2 linked regions of the Lepisosteus oculatus genome follow. The protein of the gene in region 2 purifies or fractionates together with the protein of the main gene of each other region. This does not show direct contact. Links are inferred from orthologs where the notes say so. Each region holds a gene or a part of one and is shown on either strand. Other genes may lie near its edges. The genes, in order: eif2s2 and cdc123.

Evidence for each region.
Region 1: the proteins of cdc123 (region 2) and eif2s2 purify together in Homo sapiens (affinity purification with mass spectrometry; 4 studies listed by BioGRID and IntAct, counting the BioPlex papers as one, with this or other methods). This does not show direct contact. The link is inferred for Lepisosteus oculatus from reciprocal best matches to the Homo sapiens genes CDC123 and EIF2S2.

What each region holds. Positions count from the first base shown.
Region 1 is NC_090711.1:1,531,839-1,548,370, reverse strand, and holds eif2s2 (eukaryotic translation initiation factor 2 subunit 2), read left to right. Parts: upstream 1-8,401; 5' UTR 8,402-8,526; coding exon 8,527-8,541; intron 8,542-9,751; coding exon 9,752-9,932; intron 9,933-10,392; coding exon 10,393-10,493; intron 10,494-10,947; coding exon 10,948-11,092; intron 11,093-11,401; coding exon 11,402-11,502; intron 11,503-12,462; coding exon 12,463-12,611; intron 12,612-14,041; coding exon 14,042-14,098; intron 14,099-14,343; coding exon 14,344-14,429; intron 14,430-15,426; coding exon 15,427-15,602; 3' UTR 15,603-15,917; downstream 15,918-16,532.
Region 2 is NC_090702.1:41,804,243-41,820,540, forward strand, and holds the start of cdc123 (translation initiation factor eIF2 assembly protein), read right to left. Parts: upstream 9,528-16,298; 5' UTR 9,406-9,527; coding exon 9,332-9,405; intron 9,084-9,331; coding exon 9,012-9,083; intron 6,883-9,011; coding exon 6,819-6,882; intron 6,238-6,818; coding exon 6,205-6,237; intron 5,808-6,204; coding exon 5,712-5,807; intron 5,160-5,711; coding exon 5,053-5,159; intron 3,891-5,052; coding exon 3,842-3,890; intron 3,332-3,841; coding exon 3,256-3,331; intron 2,538-3,255; coding exon 2,415-2,537; intron 1,692-2,414; coding exon 1,663-1,691; intron 1,508-1,662; coding exon 1,379-1,507; intron 196-1,378; coding exon 58-195; intron 1-57. Other genes in the region: nudt5 (ADP-sugar pyrophosphatase), read left to right, coding at 11,440-11,499, 11,855-11,922, 12,522-12,571, 12,964-13,071, 13,694-13,789, 14,297-14,407, 14,879-14,932, 15,799-15,908. UniProt on the Homo sapiens protein: ATP-dependent protein-folding chaperone for the eIF2 complex. Binds to the gamma subunit of the eIF2 complex which allows the subunit to assemble with the alpha and beta subunits.

The sequences.
Region 1 (16,532 bases), on a different chromosome or scaffold from region 2:
GTGAGGTGGCGTGAATCACATGGACAGGATGGGCTGCTGTGATCAAGCAAGCATGTAGTGTCTAAAAGAGCTTATTACTCACATTTACTGTATACAACTGCAGTGCGACATTTAAATATTCTTCGCCTTTATTTGTGTCATAGGATCAGGGAAGTTTTATATGCATACAGTATAATTATTACATTTTTAAAAGAAGTTTTATGCACAATCTGTCTCGGTATAAGGGGCTGCAACATTTTGATTCACCACAATGACTAAAGCAGTGACACAAACAATGACTAAAGCAATATGTTTGTAATAAAAGAACAAGTAAACATCAAGAAATATATTTTTGCAAATGTTAACCTGTTGTAGTCACAGAACCAGCTGGCTCTACAAAAGAAATACATTTCATTTAACACTTCTTATCAAAAATGATCCCTTGTATGTTGTTTTATATGTTATTGTAAATATTATATTTTATTCCTTAAACTAATGTGAATTGTGCAAATAGAACCTTAATATAAACTCGGTATTTTAAATGTAATGTACTTCATGTAGACATTTGCGAAACATTTGTTACTTCCTGTCAATTCAAAATACTATACTACTGTTATTTAATAAAACTATAATCCTGAAGTGAAATAAAAAATTGGAAGAAACTGGCAAACTTAAGCAAATTGATTTACAATATAAAGAATCGTACTGTACAGCATGACTTTAATCTTAATATTGGGATTGTGACAGAAAACGTTCAAAGGTAAGAACTGTAACGTCTGTAGCATCTTAGCTCCTCAGTGCTGAGCCACGTGTACAGACCTTACAAGAGCAACTGTACCTTTACCCCTTTAACAGGAAAGGCTGTGGAAGGGCCCTCCCACGGTTCTTCATAATACACAAGAATACAACCCAATTCAATTATGAGAATTTCAGGCCAGATTGAGAAAGATGCCAGCACATTCATTTCTACAACGTGACTTGGCAGTTTAATCCACACATTAATATATATGTGCGTATGGATAATTACAGGGTTTTCTTATATCTGTGTAGAGTCGTCTGTTTGAGAGTTTTCCATCTGGGTTCTCGCACACGAAAGATGAGATATTTTACTTTGTAAGTTTCTGAGGCTGTACTTCAAAATTTGGCATCTTGAAGTTATGTTTTTAACGTACACAGTTAAGAACAAATCCTTGTTGCACAAACGATGCTCACTAGCCCTGTGTTACATCATGTTTTCCAGTTATTCATTCCAACTGTTTTGTTTTACAAACATTATTAAAAAGTTGCAAACATGCAGGTAAAGGTTTATTCCATTCTTTCATAACTTAAACATAGCCTGGAATACAATTACTGTACACCTCCTCTTTACTGAGCCCCCCTCTCCCGACACTGTAGGTAAATTATATGGTGAAGATTCATGCATCTCGCTGCACACTGTCTCCAGCTTAACTCTCTTGACACAGTTAACAAATGCTTTTTTAATGAGCGTGCTTGTAATCAGTTACAATTCACTGTAAACAGTTCTAGAGATACGCACACTATGTACACTTGAAGTGTCTGTTTATTACTGTTTCCAAGCCTTTGATGTTAAATGCTCGATTACTTAGCGTTGTTTTCAACAGAGATTGTGGTTTCTTTTTCTTAGAGCGTTTTCAGGGAAGCTAGCAGTGTTGACAGTTTTTATAACTAATATTATGTGGTTTCGCCTGTGAAAATGCGTCACTGTTCTAGATTAATATACGAGTCTTGGCTGAATTTTTCAGGAAGCCAGATCTGTGTCGTAGAGTCACTGACGTTTGCAAGAAAATACATGGAATAGGCACACCTCACCATGTTTGTTCCTTTTGGCCACCTTCACAATAAACACACCCTATACCTAAATCAGAAAACCTTCAGGAGAAATACTGTTTCACTAACAATAAAACAAAACAGTCCTTATATGCAAAGGCCCTTAAGTGGCTGTCAGCCAATTGCTTCATGGATCCTAAACTAAATTCATGGTCTTTGCTAGTACTGCCCATTATTTCATGGGATTCAAAATGACCTCATGCCTGAGGTTGCAGAACATAGTCAGGATCAGGTGGATGTGATAAACTGACTCTGTAACAATCAGTTGAAAAAGACTGAACCTTCTCCTTTAACCCTGACTTTAACCCTGTCTTTCAACCATTCTCAGTTTTCACTGAAGTGTGTCTTAGTGATAACACAGGGACATGTTCCCACTCTCTGAAATATCATCACCTGCTGTGTCCCAGATCCATCACTCAGTTTGTGATTTAAAGTCACATGGTGGCTGTCTAGGCACTACTGGAGTTAAGTGCTCATGGGTCAAAATGTTACATGTCCATATGGTTTAGTTTCTTATCTATGTTCGCTGCAAAATGAAAGCTTAAACACTGGACATTTAGAAACAACTGTTTTGTCCTCATTTGTAATACAAATGGGACAGTTGTGAGAGGCACAGACTCTTGAAGTATTTACCATGGCTTACTGTAAAACAAACAAAAAATCATTTAGTGCTTTAGGCAGACTTGCTGATAAACCTGCTTTATTTTAACAAAACATTTCTGTGCATACACAATAGTTTATGACATGTTTGAAACATCATAACATGATTTATGAAGTATGATTTTTATTTCAGACTTCATAAAATGTTAGTATAATACTGTTATGACTCTCAGAAATCATTTCCACAGATGTAAGATAAGTAAAATAGAAGACATATTCAGGAATTTACTGTTAGAATGAATTCAGTCTGAAGGATGGCAGTTTAGATCTAGTTAACCAAAGAGCTGTGCACTATTTCTTATAATCTTACATTTTTGCTCTGATATAGTTACCCTGTGCTTTAGTCCTATCTAATATCCATATTTAATGGATATTTTTTAAAAATGAATTTTAAAAAACAAAACAGTTGTGTAATCGAATGGGGTGTTTTTTTTATTTAAACTACCCTTACTAGTTTTAATTTACTTGACATACAGTACCAGTTACAATTTGAGTTTAACAATTTAACAAAAAAAAAACGCATGTATTCATGTAGAACAAGTTATATTGGATCCAAAAGAAAGGTTTATTTTACTCAAAAATATTTACCACATCTGTAAGCAGTATCTATATTTACAGAGTGTGGCTGTTGTAAATACCAGAATTGCTTTTGGTTTCCTTTACATAATTACATTCTGTAGCAATTTCCAGGATTCTTCTTTTTTCTATTTTTTTCTGTTAGAATTGGCAACTTTCTTTAAAATGCAGAGAACTTAATTTTTAATTCTTGCATTCATTATTTATTGCAGTGACAGTGTTGTTATCAGGACGAACCATTGCTTGAGTGCTCCATTCCCGGTGAGTTTGGACAGATCACCAGACTGGATACCTGCCCAGCGGCCTCTGAATAACACCTGATGAGGGGCTTGAAAAAAGTCAGTGACACAAACCTGGGAACTCACAAACGGTCACAACAGAAACTGGGAGGTGCTTCAGAGAACCTCCAGCTGACATGGTGCTTCCACCTAGCAATATGAAACCCTTACAATAAAAAGGGACTTATGAAAATTGGCAAAGGAATAAAAGATTTTGCAGTTGTTTTCTTAGCATATCTGTTCTGAAGACTACTGTAGCCACTGCAAATAAACTCCAGAAATCAGCCTTCTATGTAAACACACAGTGCTTGAATATCGCGGTGTTATGTTATCAGATACACAGATTTACAAAAAATTTTGTGAGAACAAATTGCCGTCCAAATGAAAAACTCTTTGCCCTTTTAGAACATAAAAGGCTTGAGCTCTTAGTCCTAGGGAATGACAAGCAGACCTGTGAGGATTACTTTTATCACATGCAATGAAAGCATGCCTTTGAATTATAGTGAAATAGAAGTAACCTAGTAAATGTTTCTGCATATCAGGCAAGACTCCCGGTGGGACCTGTGAAATTGCTTTGTATACTGAATATCATTTGATTGGAAAGATGTATTTTGTTGTTATTTTAATCAGAATTTCCAGCCATTACAAACTTAATAATTTAGGAAATCTTATTGCAAGTTCATTTTTTTAAGTTGACTTAAATTTAAGATGACTCATAAAGGGGGAGACATATGTTCCATTCCATTCATTCCAATACCCGTAATTTTAATTAGAAAATCATGTCTGAAAAATGTGGATGTCTCATACTGTAGCTGACAGCTACAGTATGAGAAATACTGCATAACTGAAGACCTGGGTTAAAGGGTTACTTAGTGTTCTGCAGGATTTATAGCTCAAAGCAATACTTTAATGTAGTTGTCTCCAATGATGTCTATATCATAGGGATGCCTTCTTGATTACTGTCATAAGTAGCTTTTGTCAGTTCGGACTGATGGGATTTATTCTTGCTTTATCATTTTAGTTAGGATCTGTTAAAAATCAAGCCACAGTCCTCTATCCTGCTCTAATGATGCTCATTTATCTCTGTTGTTCTACTCCTCAGCTGAGTGAAGACTCTGGTTAAAACTACATAACACCCTGAATTATCTCTTTCTGACAACAACATGATCATTTACTTTTAAGAATAATCCTTGAGAGTTTGTGAGTCAGACCTGTAATAGTTATTTGATTTGTCACTGCTCAGCTGCCAGAAGAAAATATAAAATCTTGTGTGGCTTCAAAGGCTTTTGTGTCCTTGGTTCGATTCCGAAGGCAGCCCTCAGTGTGAAGTTTGCATCTTCTCCGCGTGGCCACATGTCTGAACTGGTGGTGTGCCGGTTTACTCCCTCGGGAATCTGCAGTTCTTTTCTTTACTCTCTCTGTGTGGTGATGGACTGATACTCCAGGAGTCATCCCAACTTGCCTATTGTCAGCTGGGTGAGGCTCCAGTTTGCCATGACTGCACTGGACTTAGTGGTCATTGAAAATGGACTGCCGGATACTGTAAAGTACTGAACAATTCTTCCGTAAGCTGAGAAGAATCGAGGAAAAGGAATTTATGCTCAATATCATGTTTAGTTCAAAAAGCCAGACATTAGGTCCCCCTTGCATTACCTCAATTACCTCTGGGGAAAACACTACACCACAGTCACTCAGACAGGGATACAATGTTTCACCCCACTTCCACAGCAGACTTTGGCAGATATAAGCTGCTTTACAGAGCTCTAGACAGAGGACATACAGATATAACAGCTCTAAACATCATGACAGATTCATAACACGGAAGGTAGTACTAACACCGCTGGTATACCCCGCCTACCCTTGTGTAAAGAGGGAGTTCAGTCTTAGGACTTGAATGACACACTGCAGTGTGTGGAACTACTACTGTAACCAGACTGGGACCCCTATCATCAGGAGGAGGGACTGCCACTGGCAATATAGTGTCAGCACTAACACAGCAGTGCAAACCCAAATATTTAGGGTAGCTATAAATATGAGCAGTATGATCAGCATTGAAAATTTTCAAGGGCTGTTTTTCTAAGTTTTTCTTAAGAATTATGCAGCTATGCAGCCAACCTAAACCATTCCTGATTTAAAAAAAAGGGTTTTATAGACGTGCACCATAATTACAGGAATATGTATTTTGTTTGAAAAAGCAGAACACTCCACTTTAAATAAAGCATCTCAGTTCCCACGAGCTTGACTTCCAGCTCTTTGCACTTACACAGTACATTCCAAAGGCAAAATACACATGTGCTTTCTGACACACAGAGCGCCTGCACAATATCATCTCACTCTTCATATGTCAGTGGTTTTGAGCACTGAGCTCCTTGGTTCACAGACTGTACTATAAGAGGCAAGCCCCATAGGAAGCTATGTGCAATTAAAAACATCTGGAAACTGTGAGAGCCTTGTTTGAAATTGACTCAGAGAAGACAATTTCCAATGGCTAACAAAGCAATTTTTTTACTTGACGTACTAGCTGATGTTTTCTGTCAGAACTGATGGTTAACATTTTAAATATTTTTGCAGATTACATTTAGAAAAGAAGGAGCCTGTTGAGCAGGTGACCTTTTGGCAATCGATATATATTAGAACAACTATATGTATAAATATGTTTTAATTCATACATAATTCTCTGTTCTAACTGATAACTCTGATACTTCTGATTCGGCTGATGTTTTTATGAAATATATGTTGTTGAAGCATATATTGTTTTAATTAAAACCATTCATTTTCTAGCCCCTTTATCCAATACAGGGTCGGAGGGGAAGCAGCACCTGTCATGGCAAGCAACAGGCACAAGGCCGGCTACGCCCTGGATAGGACGCCAGTCCATCACAGGGCACATACATACTAGGGCCAATGTTTCCAGCAATCAATTAACCTATGTCTTTGAGCTCTGGGAGAAAACCAGAGCACCCAGAGGAAACCCACATGAACGTGGGAAGGACATGCAAATTCCACACTGACAGTGCCCCAAGAACTGGAGCCAGGACCCCGACTCTGCAAGTACCAACTGTACTAACCACTGTGCCACTCTGCTGCCATCCATTAAACACATGCTAAATATAGATACCTCGACCATCTCCAAGATGGGTCAGAAGTAGAATATATATATATAAGACCTCAGCAGTATCAGGCATGTTAGTGGAAGTACAAGCCCCTGGCTCTGTGCACAGAGTGTGAGACCGCTACCCTGGCTCTGTGCACAGAGTGTGAGACCGCTACCCTGGCTCTGTGCACAGAGTGAGAGACCGCTACCCTGGCTCTGTGCACAGAGTGTGAGACCGCTACCCTGGCTCTGTGCACAGAGTGTGAGACCGCTACCCTGGCTCTGTGCACAGAGTGAGAGACCGCTCCCCTGGCTCTGTGCACAGAGTGTGAGACCGCTACCCTGGCTCTGTGCACAGAGTGTGAGACCGCTACCCTGGCTCTGTGCACAGAGTGAGAGACCGCTACCCTGGCTCTGTGCACAGAGTGAGAGACCGCTACCCTGGCTCTGTGCACAGAGTGAGAGACCGCTACCCTGGCTCTGTGCACAGAGTGTGAGACCGCTACCCTGGCTCTGTGCACAGAGTGAGAGACCGCTACCCTGGCTCTGTGCACAGAGTGTGAGACCGCTACCCTGGCTCTGTGCACAGAGTGAGAGACCGCTCCCCTGGCTCTGTGCACAGAGTGTGAGACCGCTACCCTGGCTCTGTGCACAGAGTGTGAGACCGCTACCCTGGCTCTGTGCACAGAGTGAGAGACCGCTACCCTGGCTCTGTGCACAGAGTGAGAGACCGCTACCCTGGCTCTGTGCACAGAGTGAGAGACCGCTACCCTGGCTCTGTGCACAGAGTGTGAGACCGCTACCCTGGCTCTGTGCACAGAGTGAGAGACCGCTACCCTGGCTCTGTGCACAGAGTGAGAGACCGCTACCCTGGCTCTGTGCACAGAGTGAGAGACCGCTCCCCTGGCTCTGTGCACAGAGTGAGAGACCGCTACCCTGGCTCTGTGCACAGAGTGAGAGACCGCTCCCCTGGCTCTGTGCACAGAGTGTGAGACCGCTACCCTGGCTCTGTGCACAGAGTGTGAGACCGCTACCCTGGCTCTGTGCACAGAGTGAGAGACCGCTACCCTGGCTCTGTGCACAGAGTGAGAGACCGCTACCCTGGCTCTGTGCACAGAGTGAGAGACCGCTACCCTGGCTCTGTGCACAGAGTGTGAGACCGCTACCCTGGCTCTGTGCACAGAGTGTGAGACCGCTACCCTGGCTCTGTGCACAGAGTGAGAGACCGCTACCCTGGCTCTGTGCACAGAGTGAGAGACCGCTACCCTGGCTCTGTGCACAGAGTGTGAGACCGCTACCCTGGCTCTGTGCACAGAGTGTGAGACCGCTACCCTGGCTCTGAAGCCCCTGAGCTGCAGCCAGTCCCTACGCATAATGCATGATGAGAACAGGAATATGAGACATACAGCACAGTAATTGCAGTAAAAGATCATGAATGGCTGCAGGTGCAAAACTTATTCATAACCAATTTGTTCATCAGGTTTTATTTTTTGAATGTTTTTAATGTAAGTGTCAGAATGTTCTTGATTTGTTTACCAATCATTGCATCAGCGAGATGGGAGGAAATGTGGAATAATGCTCAGGAATAGGTTTCTTAGAAATTACTGTTGTTGGACATGTGTGGTAAGGGAATGGTGATTTTCAGGCCTACCACAGATTTCACTGGAATAAGGGATGATGAAATAGGCTACATGTTTGTCACAACTCCCATGTTGGCAATAAGACATTTAATTTGGATGCATTTATTTAGTAAAACAGGCTGATTTTTCTTCTGTTCAGGGGAATCTAAAATAATTGAATATTACATTAGCTTATTTAAATAAAGATGCAAAAATGCAACCAAAAAAAACCCCCCGCAGATTACTCAGAAGAACCGTACAAGCAGCATCTTCCAATGTCCAGGAGCGCGACAGGAAAGAACTACAAGTCCCGCCTGCCGCGCCGCGCATGCGTATTTGGGCCCGGGGCAGCGGCGCCTGCGCGGGTTTCGAAAGCTGACGCAAGCAGCCCGAGGCGCTGAGCGAGAAGAAAAGAGCGAGGACGGAGCAGCGCGAGCGAGGAAATTCGGACAGGGGACGACAGGACGCGAACATGTCTGGCGACGAGGTGAGTGGGGAGCGGAGAGTGTCGTTACGCCGCTGCGTGTGTGTGTGTTGCCTGCACCCCTCGGAGGCCGAGTGAGGGAGGTTGAGTAGCGGACCCGGCGGCGTGAGGCCTAGTCCCCATGTGAGCGAGCGGCCGCCGGCTCCCCACGCCTGCAGAAACCACCCACACGCGTGTCTTCCTGGCTGCACTCACTCACACACACACACGGGAGAACGCAGCTCCGGGAAGGCTCGCCTCTTCGTGGTAGATTTACAGATGAGCTGGGGGGGATTTCCTACACGTTGTCGGAGAACCCAGGGTCGTCTCTCGATGCGAGTTACACGGCGTTTTTGCACTCCCAGGCGAGCAGGCCGTGGCGTTGAACACGTCCCCTGCCTCTTTTGGCAGTTTAGCAAAGTCATTTTCCTGCGTGTCTTCCCGCCTCCCCTCCCGAAACGCCCAAGCGGGGCGACTCTGAAGCCCCCAGCAGCCTGTCGAGAGGGTGTGGGAGCCGGGAGGTGTTCGTGAGCTCAGAAATACCGTCTAATCTTCAAAACCGGGCTGTGAACATACTCCCCTCCCTTCTTTTTGTACAGAACAAGATCATCATATCAGTGTAATGTTTCCACCAGTGGCTGTGAGTGGGTGCCCCTCGTGTGTGCCAGGCTTGTGTATTGTTAATTCGGTGTGAGGCTGCTGGGGAGGGAGGGGGGGTGACCCCTGACATCCGACCCTTGTGTCCCGAGCAGAGCAGTCTACCTGCACGTTGAAGGGTTAATAGGCCGGTGCGCTGGAGCAAGTCCCCCAGTGCTCACAGTCAGCTCTGTGGATTTCACCAGTATGAAGGGTGAAAGGTGAACCAGGAGAGACAAGTATAGACTACAGGAAAGAGCTCAAAACCAAGAACATGAGGCTCTTTTCACTAATAGTTGTGGGAGTGTGGAGCAGGCATGCTGAAGCCGAAGCTCCTGCGTACCAGCCGGGCGGGGTGGGGTGCTCTCGTTTGCAGCCTTTCTCGTCATGACACTGGGAGATGGAAACGGTGATCTCTCGGGTGTTGCTGGGATTCCCGATGTCTCCTCTAGTGGGGCGCCCGCAGCTGGTGCAGTGGAGGTGTGCTGGGGCGCGGTGTCAACTCTTCCTGTTGCCGTGTGCAAGCCGTGGCCGGTCACGGCCCGCGCGCCCCCCCCCCCCCCGCCAGCCCTCACGGCGCTCTGCCCTCTCCCCGCAGATGATCTTTGACCCCACCATGACCAAGAAGAAGAAGAAGAAGAAGAAGCCCTTCATGCTGGAGGAGGAAGGGGGCGACGCCCCCAGCGAAGACACCCAGCAGCCCGAGGCCAACGTGGCCGAGCCGGAGGGGGGCGAGGACAAGGACCTGGAGTTGGACGAGGACGAGGGCAGGAGGAAGGGTGAGGGAGCGTCCCTGCCCCCCTGCCAGCGGAGGAGTGGAGCTGGGATTGGTGTTCAAGAATATTCCCACTAACGTGACCTTCACAGCTCTCATGCCTGTGGCTAGTTAAGACGCATACATATACACGGCTGAGTTAGTTTGACTCTGTTGCTTCCTGTATACTGTTGACCTGCTTCTATTACAAAAGCATAAATTCATGCTTTAATAAAATTCTTAGCATCTGCTATGTGACAGATTTAAATGATCAGTTGTGATTTTAAATGAGCTAATGGTGTTCGATTTGGTTGTTTTCAAACCCAGTTCTCTGTTTAGGTTGTTTGTTTTTTTTCCACTATGCCTTGGAAAGGGCTGTTATGCGTTTTCTTTCTCGGTGTTTTGTCGAGAGCAGAGTCTGAAAGCGTTTTGGTATTCTTTTCAGAGTCTTAATTTTTTTTTCCCCCCCATTTGAAAATTTACAGAGGTGTCAGATGATCTCGATGACCTGAACTTCTTTAACCAGAAGAAAAAGAAAAAGAAGGTTAAAAAGACGTTTGATAATGACCTTGAGGAAGGGATAAAGGTCAGTACCAGAGGAGCACCACTGTGCGTGTTCACATGCGACATCCGAGAAACATGACCAGAGAGGTGGTGCTCCCAGTTTGTAATGAGAAACTGCTCCCCTCTTTTGTGTTAATGTTGTGCATTGGAATAGCTGTTTGTGTTGAGCACCATGAAACTAGAATATCTGTTGGTTGTATTTGTGACTGTCAGGAGACTCAAAGCCAATTTTATTCTTAATACTTAATTTGCGAGTTCAGTGCTGTGCAGAATTCAGCCTATGTTGTAAAGGAGACTTGGCACGGTTGATTTTTGACATGCAGAGCTGTAGTTTGCTGTGGTTTCCTGCCTTCATATATCGGACTGGAGGGGGAACCAAGTCCTAGATACAGAAGCAGGCATCCCGTTCCCTCTGGCCTGATCAGAGCTTGCGTGGGGTCTCTTACTGTTCTCGCGCTCCACCCTGCTGCCCTCAGGAGTTGAAGATTGAGGGGGAGACAGAGGCCATAGAGGATGATGACCTGGATCTGATGCTGCCGACCAAGAAGAAGAAACCCGTCAAGAAGGTGGAGTTCCAGGACGAGAGCGAGCTGCAAGACCGCGACGACGGTAGGTCTGACTGTACGTGCGTCTCGCCGGGAAGTCTGACACGCACTTAAACATGTGGAAATTTCTGGCCAATTGTCTTTTGAAGAGAAACACACGTTGTTTTATGCAGTTATAAGAGAGGGTGCAAATAGCTATTTTGTTTTCAGTTACGTTACTTTTTTTTACAGCAGCGCTGACAGTGCTGGTTTCTGAGATTTGTGCCTTTCAGCCGGTCCCCGGCGCTCGGCACGTCTTGCGGTCACCTTGCGTCTTCTGACGGCCCCCCACAGGGAGGGGGGGCTGTGTGAATGGGTTAGGTGATGCCGCTGACTGTTTTGGCAGCACCCGAGGACGAGGACGGAAAGAATAACGACGGGATCACGTTCAGCGCGCAGACGGGGCCGTCCTGGGCTGGGACGGAGCGGGACTACACTTATGATGAGGTAAGGAGCTCTGCCCACCGCGGCGCAGTGCCCATGCCGGCTCTTCGTCTCCGCAAGCGGCAGGCGCCTCACCTCTCCGTTTTCAATTCGGTTTTTAGCTTGGGTTACGATACACCGGGGTCTTTTTAACCCATGTTTTGAGGAATATGCTTTTATCAGACATTCAACCCAGACTCTGACTATTTGCTTAGTAAGAAACCTGAAGACACTAAGTGTATGGCTATAAGCCTCACCCCAGGGTCCTGTTTAAATACTGCTCTGGGTTTTGCAAAGTCTGTCTCTTCTTAATTTAGCAGTTTGGCAGTTTAAAATAGTTTCTCACTCCTTCCCCTGATCTGCTGTGCGGGGGAGCTGCTGTGTTGCACGAAGGGGTTCCAATCCTGTCTGTAAAGTGTTGTGCGATTGTGTTTGGAGCGGTGGGGTGGCTCTGTGGCTCAGGATCTGTGGCTGGAAGGTTACTGGTTTGTATCCTGCGGTCGGCAGAGGAATCCTACTGTGTTGGGCCCCTGAGCAAGTCCCTTAACCCCAACTGGTCCAGGGGTGCTGTATAAATGGCTGACCCTGCGCTCTGACCTCAAGCTTCTCTCTCTGTGTGTGTCTCTCATGGAGAGCAAGCTGGGGTCTGCGAAAAGACAAATTCCTAATGCAAGAAATTGTATAGGGCAAATAAAGTGATCTTATCTTATCTTTTGATCCTTGTTATAAACTGTGAGCAAATCATCGCCTGAATCTTTTTTTATGCATGACTTCAATCAAGAACAGTTATCCCACTAAACAGGAATAGTATAGGAATAGGAAAGTACGAATCTGGAATTCAAACTGGGTTAATATTGCAGTTCAGGTTCTGAATCCCATGCAGCGGGATGGCTGCTCTCCAGGCCCCCGAGAGCTGTACAGGAGGTAGGAGGTAGGGGCCGCTGCCTTGCGCGCCTGTCCTTCACTCGATGCTCTCGTCTGCAGCTGCTGAACCGCGTCTTCAACATCATGCGCGTGAAGAACCCCGACATGGTGGCGGGAGAGAAGAGGAAGTTTGTCATGAAGCCGCCGCAGGTGGTCCGTGTGGGGACAAAGAAGACGTCTTTCGTCAACTTCACGGATATCTGCAAGCTGTGAGTCCTTCCCTTTCTCTGGTGCAGCTTGACCGTTTAACCAGTTTTTTATTATGGACTGTGGTATTCTCATCTGGCCTGTTAAAAGAGGCAGGCGTTTCAGTGTGACACTTTACCTCTAAGAATGACAGTGCAGCACATATCAAAGCATGCTGCAGAGAGACCAAGGCACACGTCTCTAGTGTAGCGATACCTCAGTTTAACGGAATAGCTTTGTTCCATCTTGTTGGTTCACTACCTGGAACTTAACCAGAGACACCAGGAGGTGTTCCAGCACTTGTGTAGTAGGAAAATATAATTTTCAAAAATAAAGGAAATGGGTTTTAACACATGAACATTGATGTTTAGATCTGCTACTAAGGTCAGTTGATTGCTAGATAACCAGGTGTGGTGCGCCAGGTGTGGGCGACTCACGAGCATCTTCTCCGATTGGCCTCCAATGATGCGAACAAACCCCTCTGCACCCTTTCTGCTGATGCAGCCCGTCTCTCTGTTTTTAATATTTAGAGTTGCTTCACATGATTTCTTGGGTTTGTTTTTTCAATACTTTTGCAAAGAAAAGATGAGCGTTGTTCCCAGAGCGCTAGCAGAGGTATTTTTTCTTTTGCTGAGTAGATACCTTTGTTCAGGGCACCCTTAAGAGCTAGAAAATTTAAATTAGTTGCAAGTATCAGCCACAATAGTATGGGTACAGCAATGAAAAAAGTTGCTGATTAAAACAAAAGATCTATAAAAGATGACTGGTCGCCAGATTATGGCACAAAGCCTACTGTAGGGAAATAAACTGAACTGTTCAAAGTCATCGTACACAGCCCAAGAAACGCAAGCTGTCACAATTAAGGAAACAAACTTTCAGCTGTTTCCAAAAACAGCCAGTCGTCAGCTGTGGATTCAAATACAGTGAGTAGACCTTTTCTAAGGATCATTGCTGCTTTAAACTAATATGTTCTGTGATTGAAAAGGGAGTCAGATAATGGAGGTTAATTATGTACCTGCCTTTGACTGCGCTCCCTGAATGAGACGGGTTGAAAGTAAGTTCTGCTGGCTGCCAGTATTAGTCATTGTTCATGTGTTTGCCTTTTTGCTTCAGTGTGCTGTTCATACGTCTTTGTCTTTTATCTTAGACTTACTGTGTGTAGGAAAAACGCATCTTTTCCGCATTTCATATCGAATTGAAGTGATATCATGCTGGTTTCTTTGCAGTCCACTCTCTGACCCTGCCCTCTAACCCTCTGTGAAATGAGCTTATTGAAATATGGACGTTCGTGTAAGCGGTGAAGTGGAAGTGTGCTGCTGTGCGTTTTGATCCATACTCCCAACGCCCATTGTTTGAGAATGCCGAAAAGCAAAGGGCTATTATTTGTTCGGGATGCGGTCCTTTTCACCAGAGCTCACTCTGACCGCTGTTTCCTTTTCTCTCTTGTTGCTAGATTGCATCGTCAGCCCAAACATCTCTTAGCCTTTTTATTGGCTGAGTTGGGAACGAGGTAAGTTACTGCTGCTGTGTGTCTCCTGTTCGTCTGTGATCTGGGGAAAGAGAATAATGGACTAGGAGTAGAACCTCAAGTCCAGTCCACTCCTTGAGGGAACTGCTGATCACTGATCCCCAAATTGGTCATTCCTGTTTGTCTAGAGAAACCTGTGACAACCTGGCTTGGCCAAGAAATTCTTGTTTTCCTTTTATACTCTTAATGATGGGTTGGATTGATGCACGTTTGTGTCATCTTCACAGTGGTTCCATAGATGGAAACAACCAGCTTGTGATCAAGGGAAGGTTCCAGCAGAAACAGATCGAAAATGTGTTGCGAAGATACATCAGTAAGTGCGACTTCAAAGAAACGTATTTGACTTGACATTGTTTTTATTTTATTATAAGTCCTAAAAATGCTGATAAGGAAAGCTGTTGTGCACTGTCATGCTATGTTTTAGAAGTATAGACCTATATTTCATGGTATGTTTGGCATTTTGATTAAGCCAGCTGTCCTTTCCTTAACCCTTTTATGGTCTGTGGAGATTTAAAGTCCTGGCAAGACTTTGACAGTAGTGGAAATTAGTGATTTGAGGGCTCATAAGGCCTGGTGGGACAGCAGAGTTTTTGTCTACTGACATACTACAGGTGGACACTGGCCAGAGTTAATCTCCCAAAGAGCCAGATGTGAATTTTGTGTCCCTAAAAGAGAAATTTAATCTCAACTGATTTTTTCACACTCTGCAAAGTATGAATAAAAAAAAAGAACAAAAGAACAGGTTTTATAATTTTACCAAACATGGTTTTCAATGGGCGAGTCATTGGAGCTGAATCTTATCGATACACCCTGCTCCTCATCCTTGAAAAATGTAGAAAACTGATAATTGTATGCATTGAAGTAATCATCATATGCACACCTTGTATAAAACAAGCCTTTGACCAGCCTTTAGTTAGCGTATTCAACATGGATACTTTCACCAGTGGTGCGGAGAGACCTGTCCTGTTCCCAGAAAATATTCTATATATATAAGTAATATATAGTGCTCTTTTTCAAAACGAAATCAAGCCATGAAGGCAAGGCTGAAACAGCGCTTGCTGTCGTCAGAGGGACTGGATTTGGAATAGCAGGCTACCAGATTAATTGTGACTCGGTGAGAACTGGGATGCGGTACGTTCCTGCCAGAGTTTGGCCTGGATGCTTTTGAAAACCCTCGGCCGGGTTGTTTGAGGGCTAGCTGCCGCTCGTGTGTGTGTCGTCCGAGCGGCCTGACTGCGTGGCGGCCGCAGAGAGGCCGCCAGCCCGGTGCCCCTGGTGTCTGACGGCGCTGTGCCCTGTGTGCCCCGCAGAGGAGTACGTGACGTGTCACACCTGCCGCTCCCCGGACACCATCCTGCAGAAGGACACGCGCCTCTACTTCCTGCAGTGCGAGACCTGCCACTCCCGCTGCTCTGTGGCCAGCATCAAGACCGGCTTCCAGGCCGTCACGGGCAAGAGGGCGCAGCTGCGCGCCAAGGCCAACTGACCCGGCCGCCCCCGGGGCAGGGGCGCCTGATGGGACTCCTTCTCCAAACTGTGCGGGTGGGCCGGCGCCGGTGGGAGCCAAGCCTGGCCAGGACGGGCCCGGTGGTGATACCCCCCCCCACTCCAGCGGTCCTCCGCCCGCCCCGCATGCTACACCACCGCCTGTGGTCACCTGGTACCCCCACTCCCTGCAGGCTTCAGCAGACCTGGGTTTTTCCTCCCCTCATTGTTTTTTTTTTTTTATTCTTAAAATAATCACATTATTAAATCTCGTTACTTCAGTACTTTATTAAATCAATGTGAATTTACAGTTTAACGGCAATGGGAATTTTTGTCTCCTGGGTTAATTGGAGAGGTTGCTTTTGCACGTTGTCGTCGGATCCATTTCATGCGGTCTGCTCGATACTGCTTTGACCCCTGGAGTGTCCAGCTCATTTCAGCTTTCCCATGTTCCTCTCTGCGGTGCTGGGAGCTCCTGGTGGACGATGAGAGCTCATCGACACATCATAATACAGCACTGCTTCATTTGCTGCTTAAGAATGATGTGCATTTTAGATGTGAGCTCATGTCCATAAAAATTTGGCTTGGTCAGGAGAAATGCAATCCTGCTATGGTAAACATAAGTCAGTGTCATTCAGGTGTAAACATGCTTAAAAAGAAATATCTACTGATTTTTAGTCATTGGTGGGGAGTGTTGGAACGGACTTAGTTTTCAGTTTGACTAAATGTTTTGAATCTGGGCAACAGTGTCTTGTGGCTGAGAGTTTGGTGGTTAGTGTTTGAGAAACTAACATGCATTCTCACAAAAAAAAAACCCTGAACACAGTCTTTAGCCAAATTATTTTCATGGCCCTTGACGTGACATGATTCCCAAACTACACTGCCAGATAAGACTGTGCTCTCACCACCACTCCAACATAAAGGAATAAAC
Region 2 (16,298 bases):
GCATCTTCCCTGTAGAAGCATGAGAGTGGAAGACAAAAAGAAGCGAAGGACTCTTACCAGCTTGAGGAAGTCGATAAGTTTGTACGCATCTTCCCCGGTGGAGAGATCTACGAAGTCCCTGGGGATCCGGTAGCTGAGGCAGGGGCTTGGCTGCACCGTCACCTCACTGGTGGTGTATCGGAATGCTGGGGCGTCCTGTCGGACAGTCATGACACAGAGTGTAAGGCACAGCGGCCACTGCACAGTGGCTGATTAACCTTATTGGGGCATCTTTGAACACCATCGAAGACAAGTCAAACGGAAGTGTTTCAAAGCTAGAAATCATCATATTCATACCCAAAATTACGTTCCATTCCATCATCAGAAAACATAACAGTATACTTCACCATCATCTGTAACCAAACTACTGCTTTTTTCCCCCAAAAGGGGAAAAAATAAGAACATCAGAACAAGAGGAGGCCATTCGGTAGTTAATAGCCAATTGGATCTCATCCGGCTGTTTCATCACAGAAGCCAGGGTATCGCTGGGTATCTTGTTCTGCACTCCCACAGTCCTTTCCGAGTGCTTTCCAAGCCTCCACAAGTGAACCTTTAATGTCCACTGCAAATGTCATAGGGAACCAGCACAATTTATATGGGAGTTATGTGCTGATGCAGAGTACTTTAAGGTAGGACATGCACTACATGTTAGCATAAAGTAGCCTTAAACGTAACTTCTCATCAGATGTGATTTCATGCTATCTGTTTGTGCTCTGCTGCATTTGTATCTTCTTACAAATAAATGTATATGTATTCAAATTTTGAAAAGAATGTGCATAATTCTGGATTATTTTAAAGCTGATCTTTAGCGTAGAGGACATATATATCGTAATCAAATGACAACACCATGGTTTCTATTTCCATCAAGGGTCTGATTTCAGCAACAACATCATCATTTGTGCTGAATTCACTGACAAACAATTCACCAAAGCTGATGTTTAATGCCTATAAGCACAGCCTCGGTCTTGTTATAGTTTTGTTACATCAATATTTTTATATCCAACACCTGCAGCAATCGTACCTGATTTATTATATAAGTAAATATGAGTGCTAGAAGCAAAAAAGTAAGGAAATTAAGACATTTACAGTATGTAAAAACAGTATAAAGGCTATGTACAGGGTCTACACCATGGGAGTCAAATTTTGGTCCTGGAGGGCCAGTGTGTCTGCAGGTTTTCGAGATCTTTTTATAAAAGGAACTCAGAAAACAAACACAAAGACACACAAAGGCTCTCCAGGACTGGATTCATCTAGGTAGACACAGCATACATCCACTGACGACTGGGAAAGTTAAATTCTCTTTTTCTTAATTGCAGGCTCATCTACCACAAATTCGCACCTGATCTGTATTTTCCCCTTCAACGTGGTCCCCTCTGAGACTGTTTCCTGAAGTCAGCTCTTCCCAGGTGAACAGCAACGAGTCCGTCACCTCACCAAACGGGTTCAGATCTATCAACCACACCCTACCCTGAAAAAACACCATCAGAAAAAGACCGAGTTCAAGAGCTTTCCTTAGCACACATACTGCAGAGAATGTAACCTTTAACCAGTTCACAACCGAAGCTTTTACTACTTTCTATTTTTGTTATTAATGAAAGCACAGAATATAAAACATTTACTAACCTGACTATCTCTGTAGACATCAATCACAACTGTGGAAAAAAACAACATTTTATTTGATAATGAAAAATAACTTTCTTCTGTCTTTTAGACTCACTAATCATTCTTTCCTTTTAAACCCAATAAATTCATCCAGGTCACAGCCACAGATATTAGAATGGTAATCTAAAACTCAGCATGACCATAACATCATGTTCCTTGATCATATACTTTTGTGAGGGTATATGCAGTCTGGGGTTTTTCTTTGGCAAATTCAAATTTACAGATACAAAAGAAGGAAAGAAACCAGTGATTCTAAATTTATGAAGGAAGCAGAATTTAAAATGGAAAAATGGCAGGACAGATGGATGGAAAAAAGGAGCAAAAAAGCACCAAATAATAATAAAAGCTTATAATGAACTTTTCTTATCTCTAATGTCATTGTGACATTATCTCTTATTTTGCAGTAATTCAGCTAACATTACCAAGGGACCTATAAAAAGGTAAAATGTACAACATAAAAATGGTATATCCAGATCAACGGTCAATGAAAAGAAGAACTGCAGAATGTCTTTTTCAGTATTTCACAAACTAGATTAATGACACCTGACATTGCAACACTAGTAGATTAAGCTTGTCAGATACTGATGTCAACAATGACACTGTCAAGAGAAAGGTGTAAAACCCTGAAAAAGTACATTTAATGTTCAGGATTTTCATTAAGTATTCCCTACAACACACTTGTTACGGTTAATTAATTATTTCCACATACTTACAGTCCTCATCCAGGAACTTGTACTGAATATTGTCCCTGAAGAAATCCTGGATTGATCTACAAATGTCATCTTCCTGATGTGAAATGTGATCATAGTGCTGTGTGTAATCTCTCTGTGAGATTCCTAAAAAGTAAAACACATCAGGACCTACTCTTGTATAACATTCGTAGTTACAGATCATTAACCACCCTTACTTGCTTCCGTCATACATTAATATACAGTATAGCACCAGCAGGGTACAGCTCCTATAGCTATCTGCCAAGATTTTCCACTACTTCAGTGATTTACCAAATTTGGTGGAGATTTGGGAGGCCAGTTGAGTAAATAAACACAAGGGCCTGTTCTGATCTATAAAGCCATAGGACATTCCATTCCAGACATTATAAAACAAACAAGAAACAGCAAACAGAGAAGCGCAGTCCTTTTATTTTGGAATACTATGGTAAGCAATAGAAAATGATATTTCCAACCTTTGGGATCCACTAAACACTTTAAGATGTTCGATACAGAAGACATCATGTCAAGAATAGGTGGATCTTCATTTTTATTAATGTTATTTTTTCTCGTCTGAAGATTCAATGACAATAAATCAATGCCCACTTTCTCTTTTAATTTGATTCTGTGCAGTTCAGGACTCTGATATATATTAGCCTTTCAAGTTGGGACAGTGGGTATTATTATATATGTAATAAGCACAAATTTCTAACGTTTCTGTTTATATTTGTATAGACAAATAATAAAACCTCTTAATGAATTCCAACCCCTCCTTTACAACATCCACATCCAAGGGCATAAAACTCTACAGGATCACTGCACTTATAAAGGAAAATACTCTCCATACCTATTAGCTTGTTTTCCTTGACAAAACATCTGAACTCTCCACCAGGGATCAATTCACACCATTTTCTCAGGACCAGCTTGAAAAACAAAATATTTGTTTAGCATATTAAATATGTTAATAGCTGTATGCTCCCCCATTGGAATACCTTCAGCAAATAGGATATAAATTCTCATCTCAGTGTGCTGCGACTTTTAATATAAGGTGAGCTGAGACAACTGCAGTAGAATGAGACCTTAATTTCTCCCATTAAAGGCACCCCCTCAACCTGTTACTGTTACTGTCCCCTCCCATGCAAAAACACTTCTTAACTTTCCTCACAGTATGTTTTCAGGTGCTGCAGAGTCATTTATTACTGTAAAGCAGTTCCACTTGGTCAGAAATCAGATCTGAACGAGATCTGTCTGGGATGTAGTAATTTAAAATTACTACAATTTGTATTTCATGTAACAATTAACATGCATGCGATGAGTTCAATGAAGTAATCAGCATTAGCCCAAGAAAGTAAGATTCACAACACAGTGAAAGGGAAATGGGTGCTTGATGAGGCAGGGTAGAGAATGACACTGCCTTCAGTACAGCCACCCACCTCGTAGTTTATTGATGGATCTGGGGAATCATCATTACAACGAAGGAACCTGAAAACAACACGTTGTAAACAAGTTTACCCTGTTAACTCTGAAATAATTAACAAAACAAAACAAAACTAATACACGAGGCAATGAGGCTGAGAATTTTGTAATGCACAAAAGAACTATGATTGTTACTGATTCAGTAGTCAAATTATAAGCCTAAACTTTGCAAGTTCCGCGCAGCAGTGTTATAAACTCAACAGGAAGAACTGTGCACGCTCCATATCTGAGCCTACCTTGACTGGTGATGGAAGAGGACATTTTATCAGAACAAATTCATATTCACAATGATGAGCTGGAGCCCCATTTTTTACAGCAGTGAAATGTACTGGAGCGCTTTGAGTGAAATGTTTTTGCTCAAGGGTACACTAACATCGTGCCACCCAGGATCTGAAGCCAAGATCCTCTGGTCTCAGTCCAAAGCACTAAACACAACTCCACGCTGTTTTTGAAGTCAGTCCACCTTGTGGGGGTCCAGGCAAAAAAAAAACTAATCAAAGTGAACATGGATTCATCTCACAAAACTAATTTTCTTCCTTCTTCTTTGGAAGTTCAATAGTCCCAAAGCAGGCAAGACACGGGAAGAGAAAAAGGCCACTACACATTTTTTGGGAATGAAAAGCTGCCTTTTATACTCTGAAATAAATCACTGCACTCTGTGGACATTGCCACTTACTGCAGTCCTATTCTGCTGCACCTGAAAAAAAAAGATCTTCACAAAGGCAGCAATCAATACCAGTGAAGAGCTGAACACAGAGAAAGCGAAGGTCACTATGAGACTGTGGGAATGAAATCAGGAGATGCAGGCTGACCTTTACCATTAATGGATAAAGCCATTCTGGGGTAAATTGTTTTAAAATCCCAAACTCAAAAGGCTTTGTGGACACTGAACATATTGATTTTTAGATTTTCCTATGGCAAAGAACACTAATTTTAAAATTGGATGCCGACAAAAGGGATTTGAATGAGTTATTAGAAGTTAATGCATTCAGGTCAGTAGCGTTTAGTCGTTAAAATACAGTACTTAAGGGTATGAGATAACATTTGGGCTTTAAAAGACAGTACTTAAGAGCACGGGAATAGCTCCTAAATATGTTGAAACAGCACAATGATTATAAAATCTGCTTATTAATAATAGTCGTAAAGCACTTCAAATAGGAGCACTTACGGCTGAGTGAAGTCATGGGTGATGAAGTCTGAACTCTTGAAAAGCAGAAAAATGTCACTCAGGCTCTGGCATCTTAAAGAACTGTTCATTGCAATCCAGTTAGCATCCTACGTATATACAGATATATAAGGAAGAAAGTAAAATAATGCACAAAAGAAGGGTTATTTATTCTCTCTTTAAGTCTTCAAGGTTTTAAAGTGAAGAATGCAGGTTTGAAATAAAACCTTTCTGAAAATAATATCAGAATAATATCAGAAGCATGGGCATATTATACTAATCACTGAAAAGTCATATCTTTTATATGGGCTTGAATAGGGACTACATTAAGAAGTTTAACAGCCTTGTAATAAATCAAGGGTAATAAACAGTTGTCAGAAGGGATGGTTTTTACCTCAGTTTTGCCTATGAAACAAAACCAGACTGAATGTAACTGGACAATTCACCAAGATTAAGGAAAGTAAACCCAGGTGGCTTGTCAAGAATATGTCATCCAGCCGTTTCTTGAAAGATATCGGGTATCTGCTTCACAAACATGTTCCATGCTCCCACCACCCTTTGGGGAAAGAAGTACCTCCAGTTCCCAGATTTAAATGCATGTTGGAGAAACTAAAACCAAAATGTCCAATACAGTAAAATCTTTACTGATATTTAAGCCTTACCCTTGGAGCACTCCAGTTCAGCTTCGGGAAGATGCTGCCCCCAAGAGCGTTGATTGCTTCCTGTACTTTGGCATGGAACTCGGGGAATTCAGGAGCCTTAACCACAAAGGGAAACTATCAGGGCTTTCAAACTTAACACAAACAAAAGTTATCACTATACATCTTTAAAGAACTAAATATACAGTCAGGATGCCTTAATTTGTAATCGAGGCAATTGTTTATCATACTTAAAGAAGAAATACAGATAACAACTACAACTACAAACAGATGAGTTTTAATGATTGGTATATCCATTACCTAACTAGCAAGGAGAATGATACCTTAAGCAAATATGAAGAGTTGCTCTTGCAGTCTGTACACTTGGAGCAGATATAGTAAACAAAGGCACCTATATCTAAAAGACTTAGTCACAGTGTAATAGAAACGGTTAACCGATTACCATTTAAGCCTGCTGATAATAAGCTAACTCAAATGAAATATTTTTAATACTTACAGTAACCGTTGATGTAGTCTCGTCATCTGACCACTATTACAACAAAACCAAAATATATATTTTAAAAAAAAAACAATCGACAAGATGTCCAGAATTCTTGCCCCAATCTCCATTTTGTAAACTTATGGGATAATATCTATAGTGACAGACTGAGCAGAGCCACACAAGCCCTGGCTAAGAGAGCTGGCTTATAAGGTTCTAAACAAACACCTTCAAGCTCGTCTTGATCAGGGTATTGTCAGGTTAAACCTACATACCAGTTTAACACGTAATGTCTTCTCAGACAATAAGCATCTAGTGTTCCTTTAACAAAAGTACTGAACTTGCCTTTAACGGTCCTAAGGCATTAGAAACTATTTGTAACTGGGAATGTTTCTGGATGGGTTAAGGAAAAATATAAGACATTTACTACTTTAAATTACAAAACTAAACATACATTTATTTATGTTATAAATTTGCATGACATACTGTATATTAATTAAATATTGTGCATTAAATATTAAATACTTTATTTGAAAAAGTATAATATATGTATACTGACAGATGACTATATGACTATATATTTGTACCAACAGTAGCTATACCGCACATGAATACTATGACTAAAATTGTACCTGTATATCGTCTTCCTCATCACAGTCACTATTGTTTGTCTGAGAATTCTGAGGGGGATCTACTCTGCAAAAAACAGAATAACAGACTATTCATATAGCGTTAAAAAAAGAGCAAAATTACAATAACTTATTCATTTATACAGTCCCTTGTCTTCCTGGAGAAACTAAAACCTCAAAGGATGTGACAACAAAAGGAACAAATTCAATCTGAAAGATGCATTGTAGCATTTCTCAAATTGTCTACTTTAAATTCCACGACGATTGCATGGAAGCCAAATGAAAATGATTTATTTGAAAGATTTACAAGACCAAATGTCAAGGTTGTTGGTGTCTCTCCTGTGCCGTGTATCAGCTTAGGATTTTTAAAGACTGTAAACATAAGAACACACAAAAGGTTACAAATAGAAAGGAGGCTGTTCATCCTTTCTCACTTGTTTGGGTGCTCAAAACCAACTGATCTCATCCCATCATTTTCTGAAGGAAGTGAGGGTATCAGTTTTAACAAGCTTGTTCCTGACTCCCACAAACATTTGTATGAAAAAGAGCTTCATGGGCTCTGATTTACAGTAGATGCACTGTCCCCGGGTTTCACCTTTGTGACCTCCGAGTCATTTTTCCCTGCTGACCCTTGACCCTCTCACATTCTTTTGTACAACAGGGCATTTACTGGAGCAATGTGAGTGAACTATCTTGCTCAGAGGCACAATAGCTGTATTGTAGTCGAGATCTGAACCCACAATGCTCCAGTCTGCAGTCCCTAACCACTTCTCCACACTACTGCCCTAAAACATACAGCATGAAATAGCTGACAACAGATAAAGATGAACAAGAATAGATACTGAGAGACAATTTCATGGTAACACAGAGATGGATTTCTGAAACAGCGTATAAATTAGGCAAAATGGGATGGAGCAGAATTGTTGTGGGGAATTCTTCATCAGAGGAGCAGGACACAGTTTTGTGCAGATTCAATTTTATTGAGCTCAATAAGGACAGCAACATCCACTGGGTCTGTCCTGCAGAACAGAGCCCCTGAAAGAGGTTTCCAACCCTTATATACTGTACAGAAAGAAGTCTTAGTTTCACAGTTTTATGGCTTGTTATGTATATTTATTCTGTCCTTTGAAATGTAGCAAAAGTTGAACTGCTTTGTCCTATTTGAAGTCCTGTCCTTTGAGATGCAGCAGACATTGATCTGCTTTATCATGTTTATGGTTTGATTGTTTATGGGTGTTGGTCCTACCTTTTGTTATGTAGTGTAAGTCACTGGAGCTGTGCAAGCAAGTCAGCTTCATTATATCTTAGCATGACCTTTGTTAAAGGCTAAATTAGCAGATCCCAGCACTTCCACACTTCCACACAGTGGTTAAACAGTAATGTCCCACTTCAGGTAATAAATAACCGGATAAATCAGGGTGGCCACATGGACATTAAGAAGATGGAACACAATGTTAACATATGGACGTGTCAAGGTTGGGGAGGATTTCAGCCTTGGCCACAAAATGGGTTACGACAACAAAAATAAATAAATGACTAACACAGTCAGTAATAGCAGAGAATTAAAGGCTCCTCTTAGAGGGACTGAGCTGTGATTCATCACGCTGGCCAGGCGGATCCCTGAGAATAAGGCCGGCCGAGATCTAGTCCCATAAAGCTCAACCTGAAGTGCACGCAGCCAGTTAGCGTCCATGCTTGCTGGAGCCATCTGCTGGTAATCTGCGCATACTACAACTAATGGAAAACAAAGCTCCCAGTTAAACAGGCAGTCTGGGCTTTCTGACCTGAGTCAGAATTTTACTTGCACACGTACATAGTGCGTGCGTGTAAAACGTAGAATCATGTGCTAATAATCTTCTTTTAGTCAAGTTATGAGTCATGGACCCATATAGACAAAATCATGATCTTCATGGATGTTTTTGATTTCATTTAGCCCTTCCACTATAATTCATTACAATGCTTGACTTCACATAACTTGCTTAACAGATACATTTCTGAGTTACACTGAATACACCAAACAAATGACAGCACTTTCCCGTGACTTAAAAATTAGCCTATTAGCAGATTCCTCATATAATTCAGATTTTCTATAGTACCAGTAACTACGAAAAACAGATAGGAATTGTGAGATGTGGAAGATTCAAAGTCTAGAGTAGATCTGAAGAGCGAAAAAACACCCAGCCTAGACAAACGTACCTCCCTGAAACCACAAGAGTGCCGTCATCCAGTAAATAATCGATCACATTCTGTGGCAAAGGAAGAATTAAACTGTAACACAAAAACAAAGAGTGTTAACACAAGCATTGGGTATTAATGGTCATTCATGCTTATTACATAGACGGAAAAACTGAAAGTCCGAGTTCTTCTTAAAAAATAATTTTAAACTTAAGCGTCGATAACAAGCACTGCCGGTTCAGTAACAAATTAGATGATATCAGTGTAACACATCAGCATTGTAAGATCAAGCTCTACGCTGGGATTTTAATAATTACATACAGGAAAAGTAAATGTCATACCTTTTAATCGTGTGCTTCTTGAATAATGTGTACCACACCGAAAACTGACAGTTTACAACCTGCTCTTTCTTCATGCTTCGTCTATTGACAGGAAGTGTCCGATAGAAAACAACTCCTCCACTGAGGAGAACAGCGGTCGTACCTATCGGATTCCACCAATCTACATATATTTAAAACTTTTTTTTCAAAGAAGCTTTGTGATATTCATATTGTTAAAATATTTATCTTATTAACTTATATGCGTGCATTTTGTCTAAACTGAATTTTATTAGCTGACGCGAGATTCAAGAAGGAGTGGCGCTCAGGGGGAGGTGTTTCGAGTTGCACTACGTTGGGGGGAATGGGTAGCATTAGTGCAGTGCTGTGATCACACTGATGAAAGTATCTTGGTTGCTGGCGAATAAGGTATGGATGTCTATTATGTTCTGTGTATATTAATTGTAATCGACTGTTTTAATAATGTTTCTTCTTTGGGTTATGTTGTTCAGAGGATTGAATTATTCAGATCACAAGTATCATGCGCTTTAAACGGTTGTTTAAAGTATTAGAGTCTACTAGAAAAGAAATATTCCTCTTCACTCCGTTTTTCCCAAAAGCTGAGGTAATCACTGCTAAGAGAGCTATTTATCAGCGGTAACTCTGCGAGGCTTTATTGAAGCCAGGTGCAGTGTACCGAGGGGTAGAAAATGTAAGATGAATGAACCGTACAGGCAGTGGTAGTAATACGTTTGTAGATTGTACTGTAGCTGAATCTCTGTAAAGTACATCCAAAAAACATTGGGACTCCCTGTCTGAATTAAGTTCATGATAACAATGAAGAGGCACCCAATTCCTACGACATGGAGATTAATCATCGTTTTTTATTCATAAGAAATCAAAAAAATCTGTCATGTTTTATGTTTGTAGTTCATAATCCTAAAATTGTCTTGACTGAAAAATCTGAAAACGTCTTAAGAAAGATTTTTTGTAATAAGATTTTTTTACATAGCACGTCTCACGTCATAATAATATACCTTTACAACAGTAAATGGATAAAATGAGACATACAGTAGCTTACACTAAAAATACATACAATTGGTGTATATATTTGTTATGCTGCAAACGTTAGATGCATTACAAATATGCTTTTTAAAAGAGTGGTCAGGGTCAAGAATAATACGAAGAAGCTCATGTTCAGTTTCAGCTCTGTGTAGAGATCTGTCCTAAATCATTTCCAACCCTGAAACACTTAAAAATGTTAGCATTTATTGAACTGATGTAGGGAACCATAACAACATAAGATGGGGTACAAACCCAGCTGTTTCTTGAATAAACCAGGGTATTGGGTCCAACAACACAGTTTGGTAGCTTGTTCCATGCTCCCACAAACCTCTGTGTAAAGCATTGCCTCTTGTTCTGTTTTCAATGGACTTCCATGTAGTTTCAGCTTATGTACTTTTATTATCCTGGATGCATTTGACTACATCCCTTTGTATTATCATCCATTGTACTTAGAATCTCAGGTTAGCCTAATTCTTAGTGTAAACTGAATTGTGTGATATTCCATGGTATAGTAATGTTCTTCTCATCTTCACTTTGTCGGTGATGTTTTTTTCTAATGTGCTATCTTTCCTTTCATATTAAAACATAAACTGGCAATTTAGAATACAATTTTTTAATTAATAATCGCAAAGAATGGGTCTTTTTCGGGTTAGATATTAAACGAAAACCAGTACCATTAATGGTGAATTTATTATTTGTTGTTTTTGTTTTGGTTACTTCACAGATAAGTGCATCTGCAGGCTCACCAGAAAAGTGTAGGCACAGTTTCAACTGCTTGTTTGTGAGGCAGCAAAAAAATGGAACCCTAGTTTTCTTTTGTGAAATAGAGATTATTCAATGTATGAATGTATGTCAATTACTTGCTAAAAGTCTGTATTAAGGCAATATTATTTCCTGTCCAGTTATGACACAATCCTCCACTGATACATGAAAAATAAAAATATTATTTTGACCATTTGTTTTGCTTGTCCTTCTTGCTAGGCAATCCTGCTGCGATAATATTGATTGCAAAGTTGCATCGTCTGGACTTTGAGACTGTCACTGCTTCATTCACCAGGGCTACAAACATGAGCCACGAAGGGGGTGCTTCATCTAAGAGCTCTACATCGTCAGTCCTTAAAGAAGAGGTGTGCAAACCATTGAATAGGAACACTTAATCATCCTTATCTTCTTGTTATCTCAGGACATCTTTGTCAGTCAGCAGGATTGAGTGTAATTTTAAAACCGGGATGGAGACAGAGCAATCAGTGGGTTTCCACTAAACAAAGCAGATTTGATTAGATGTTATTTTCTGTTTTTCATTGACGAATGTTATCATGGGCTTCACTTGGGAATTCGAGAAAGTCAGCTGAGTGATGAGTACTTTTGCTTCCTATATATATGAAAGTATGACAGAGCGAGGAAGGCCTAGTAGTCAATGTAGTAGGGGACTATTCATCCTATTAACCTGGACTAATGCATAATACAATGCTTTCTGTACAGGTAATTACAGAAGGAAAATGGGTCAAATTTGAAAAGACCACCTATGTTGACCCTTCTGGAAATGTAAGGTAGGTTTGATAGAAATGTTTCAGTAATTGTAACATGGTAAAAAAGATTAACTTTCTTATTTGGTTTTAAATTTTCTCAGAAAAATTAATCCTCCTTATTACTGAATCATAGTTTAGCCTGAAGAAGGCTCCACGGCCTAAACATTGTGTTTTCTTTTTTCTCTTTTCAGCATGGAATAAACCTATTACTTGTTCCTTTGCAGCCTACACATGCTGACACAGCTCCCCACCTAAAGTGTATATATATATTGTTCTGGGGTTGAAAAAACATAATTCTTGATAGATCCGACTTTTGGCAATATCAGACAATTCATCATCCCTATTATTCTGTTAAACCAAGGGTTTACTGTCTCTAGAATGGGTTACTTACAGTTACTATAGTGATAAAGTGATAAAGTGAGTACTCTACATGGGAAAATACTTAAAGTAATATCTTTCGTTATCTTTGTGCAGTTCGTTATCATGTTGAGTAAAGGCATGCACCTGGCAGTGCATAATTGGATCAATTTTTATAAACAATTAGCTGCAGTATGGGAAATGGTGAAAAGTAATTGCAGTTTTTTAACTTTTTCATCAGTTCTGTGTTTGTCTTGAATTAGAATCTGGGAAACGGTGAAGAGGACAACAAAAAAGAATTCCTCAGCTGACGGTATGTAAATTTGTAGGTTAAAGTGTATCTGACACTGATTGAAAGATCAAATGGAAAAACTGTGCATCTAGTACTGTATGTATGTTGAAAACGTTAAATCTGGTGGCGTGTTGGCGCAGTGGTTAGCTGGACCCTGCATTCAGTGCTGTGTGCGTGGAGTTTGCATGTACCACCTGCGTTAGTGTGGGTTTCCTCAGTCCAAGACAGATTGGTACAGTAAGTTCAACGGCGTCTGGGAAAACTGGCCCTTTTGTTGCTGTGTGGGAGTTTGTGTCTGTGAGTGCCCTGCGCGGGGCTCTGCGAATGCCTTGTGCCTGTTGCTTGCCTATGCAACCCTTTGTTGGATGGAGTGGAACGAAAATGTTAATCTTCTGTACTTTACTTCCAATTAGGAGTGGGCATATTTGCCGTTCTGAAAAGAACTCTCCATTATGACTGTGTTGTAATGGTAAAACAGTTTCGGCCGCCAATGGGGTGCTACTGTCTGGAATTTCCAGCAGGTAAAGTTCTGTTTTCTCTTTTCTCGCTTTGTACAATTCTAAACCTTAAATTGGAATGAATTTAAATACATTTTCATGGTGCAATTGTGGATTTTAATAAAGGCTTGCATTTTGTTTCAGTTATTAAATAAATCCTTTTGGAACAGGAAGAATGAATAAATTGTAAGGTCTCCTAAGAATATTTCCAGTTGAAATTACTGTCCACGGTTTGTCCTCAAGTATTAAGAATGTAATATAATATCAAGCCTCATGTTTCTTAAATGTTCTTGGGTTTTTTGTGCTACTGGTTTCTTCATCTCATTCCATACACTCTGAAGAACATTCTAAACATCGGTACTTTATAAAGAATGTTTAATAATTTCAAATAAAAAATACATCATGTGATTATCAGCAACCCCCATACTTTTCCTAATGAATAGCGAATCTTTACCAAATTGATTTATGTACAGTGAAGGGGTTAGATAGAAATTTGAAAATGGTTTTAGCAGAAGGGTGATTTCACCTCTTTCTAGAAGACTTTCTGTGAAGTTTGTAGTTTTGTTAAATCAAACCAGGCAGCTTTCACTCTAGAGCCCTAAGGCTTCTTGCTGTACGTTTTGTGAGAGTGTTTATAATCTTTTAGGCCTCATCGATGAAAATGAAAGCGCAGAAGCTGCAGCTTTGAGGGAACTGCAAGAGGAAACTGGGTATAAAGGAGAAGTAGTAGGAATTTCTCCAGGTAGAGTTTCTGTGTGTGTGTTTGGCTTGTTGTAAATATAACTGTTTCCCTCACAATTCTTAGTTCATAATCCTTCATTTTCAGTAAGTTTGTGTACTGTATTCTATTCGCAGTGATTCTGAAAACCACTACCTTCAGACTTACAGTGAAATCAGCTGATTATGATGTAAAAAGTTCATAGGTTTACAAGCGTTAGTAAATTTTGACGGTGGGCACTGAAGATTTAAAGTCCTGGTAAAAGTGTTTATCTGTAATAATATTTAAAATATATTTTTGTTTCAATTTCTGGAAGGCAGATTGCAATACTTTGTGTTTTAATTTATACTGGTACTGCCAGTTGCCTGTCTTCCTCTCTGGATTAGGCATTACATGTAAATTCATAATGAATCTGTTAAATAAATTCTACAGCTGTAGGAATCATAGGGATGTGATGGAAATGTCTATTTTACGTTCTAGAAATATATTTTTTCTTCCTCGTCCTTGAATACATTTTTTATTTCTTTTTAGTAACTTGTATTGATCCCGGTTTGTCAAATTGTACAACTCATATAGTCAGCGTTAACATCAATGGAGATGATCCAGAAAACATCAGGCCAGCACAACAACTTGGTAAGAAAGGCTTTTTTGTTTTTGGACTGTATTTCCAAATTTTTTATAAATGCATCTTAAAACTCCTCTAAATAACTTTTTTTTTCTTCTCTTTCAGCGGAAGGAGGTATGTTTTTGCTTTACATATTTCAATGGGAGTGGTGCAGCAGTTAGCAGTGCTGCCTCAGTTTCAGACCTGGGGTGCTGTTTGTATGTCCGCCCCATGTTCCCCCAGGTACTTTGGTTTCTTCCCACAATACAAAGACATACTGGTAGATTAATTATGGCCCTCAGTGTGAGTGTGAGTGTGTGTGTCTGCCCTGCGAGGGACTGGTGTCCTGTCCCGGGTGTGCCCTGCCTTGCACCAGTTGCTTGCTGGGATAGGCTCTAGTTCTCCTGTGACTGTATTGGATTATATGGTTAGAAAATGGATGGAAGGATATCTGAATGCCATAAATTGACAGTTTTGAGTGACTGCTAATTCTAGTTTGCTAATTGCAGAGTTTGTTGAAGTACTGCTTATACCTCTACATCACTTTCAAGACAAAATTAATGGTAAGTGTTTTTTAAATACACTTTGTTCCGTATTCTGCTTAGAACATTAAATGTTTCCATTTCTTAATGCAGTAGCAAGTTAATTAGTATAGAATTAATCAATCTTGGTATTGTTTTATTTCCTTTGAGAAACTTTTCTCATCTAATTGCATATTAAAATTAAAACTAATTCTAATTCTGAATTGGAAAGTGTTTGTCTTTAGTCTGTTACAATATCAGAAGCAAATGTTAATATCAATATTATCTATTGCTAGCCTCAGAAATAGTGCATTGCTGAAGTATTCAGACTCTTGCAGTTTTTTTTGCTTTAAAGCTTAGTCGGGACACTTTGAATTAGCCATTATTTGAAATATACAAAACCTACTTCTTTAAAGCAAAAAATAAAAATAAAAATATTTTTAACAAATGACTCGTCAACAGTTTATCAGGAAAACCAGCCCGTTCTGAATGTCAGAATATGGCACTGTGCACACTTGGAAAGTTTGATTTTGTGATGTACATTGGAGGTTTTACAAGTTTCTGTGTTCATTTTTCTTTCATTGTGGTTTGAAATGCACTCATCAATGCCGATTCTTTCTAACCCCAAAATATAAAAATATGTAGTTTTCTCATGACCAGGAAGAACATAATTAGCAGATAAACACAAATAGCTGTGAATATTTAACCTTAGCAATTGTATAGTAAATGGATATTTCTTTAAAATATTAAAAATGATTTTGATGTAAAATGTATTTGGATTTTAGAATGTACGATTCTACGGTTTTCGATTTTGTTATCCTGTGAGACAGTTAATATTTAGACAGTGGTTGTTTCGCACTCTGACTTTTGTTTAAAAAATTGGTTTCTTCTCCCCTCTAATTTTCAAGAAATTGTGAAGAAGGAACACGTAGTTGTAGATACCAAAGTCTACGCCTATGCAATGGGAATGACACTGGCAACAGCCAAGCCGAAAGAACTGCCAGTTCTCAAGCAGTGAAGAAAGACTGGCTTCCTCTAGCATTCTGATGTTCTTGCGTGGGTCTGCGAACGCATTCCTTAATGTACGATAATCCAGTTGAAAAAATACTGAATTTTAGATGAAGTGCACAGATGATCCACCATAGTGCCTTACATTCCTGTTTCAAAATCCAGTGTTGAAAAATCAGTTTTCTTACCCTTGTATTCTTTGTTTTATGGTGGAATGGTCTCTTTTTCTTGCCTGGTTTGTAAACAAATTATCCAGATTTGTTGCAATAAAGTGTACCCAATATTCAACAAACATCTGTCTTTTTCATAATTAACTGTTTCCCAGTTTGTATTTAGTTTGTTTTTACTTCATGCAATACCCTTCTCTTGTCTATATTAAAAGCCATCTGCCAGGTGAACT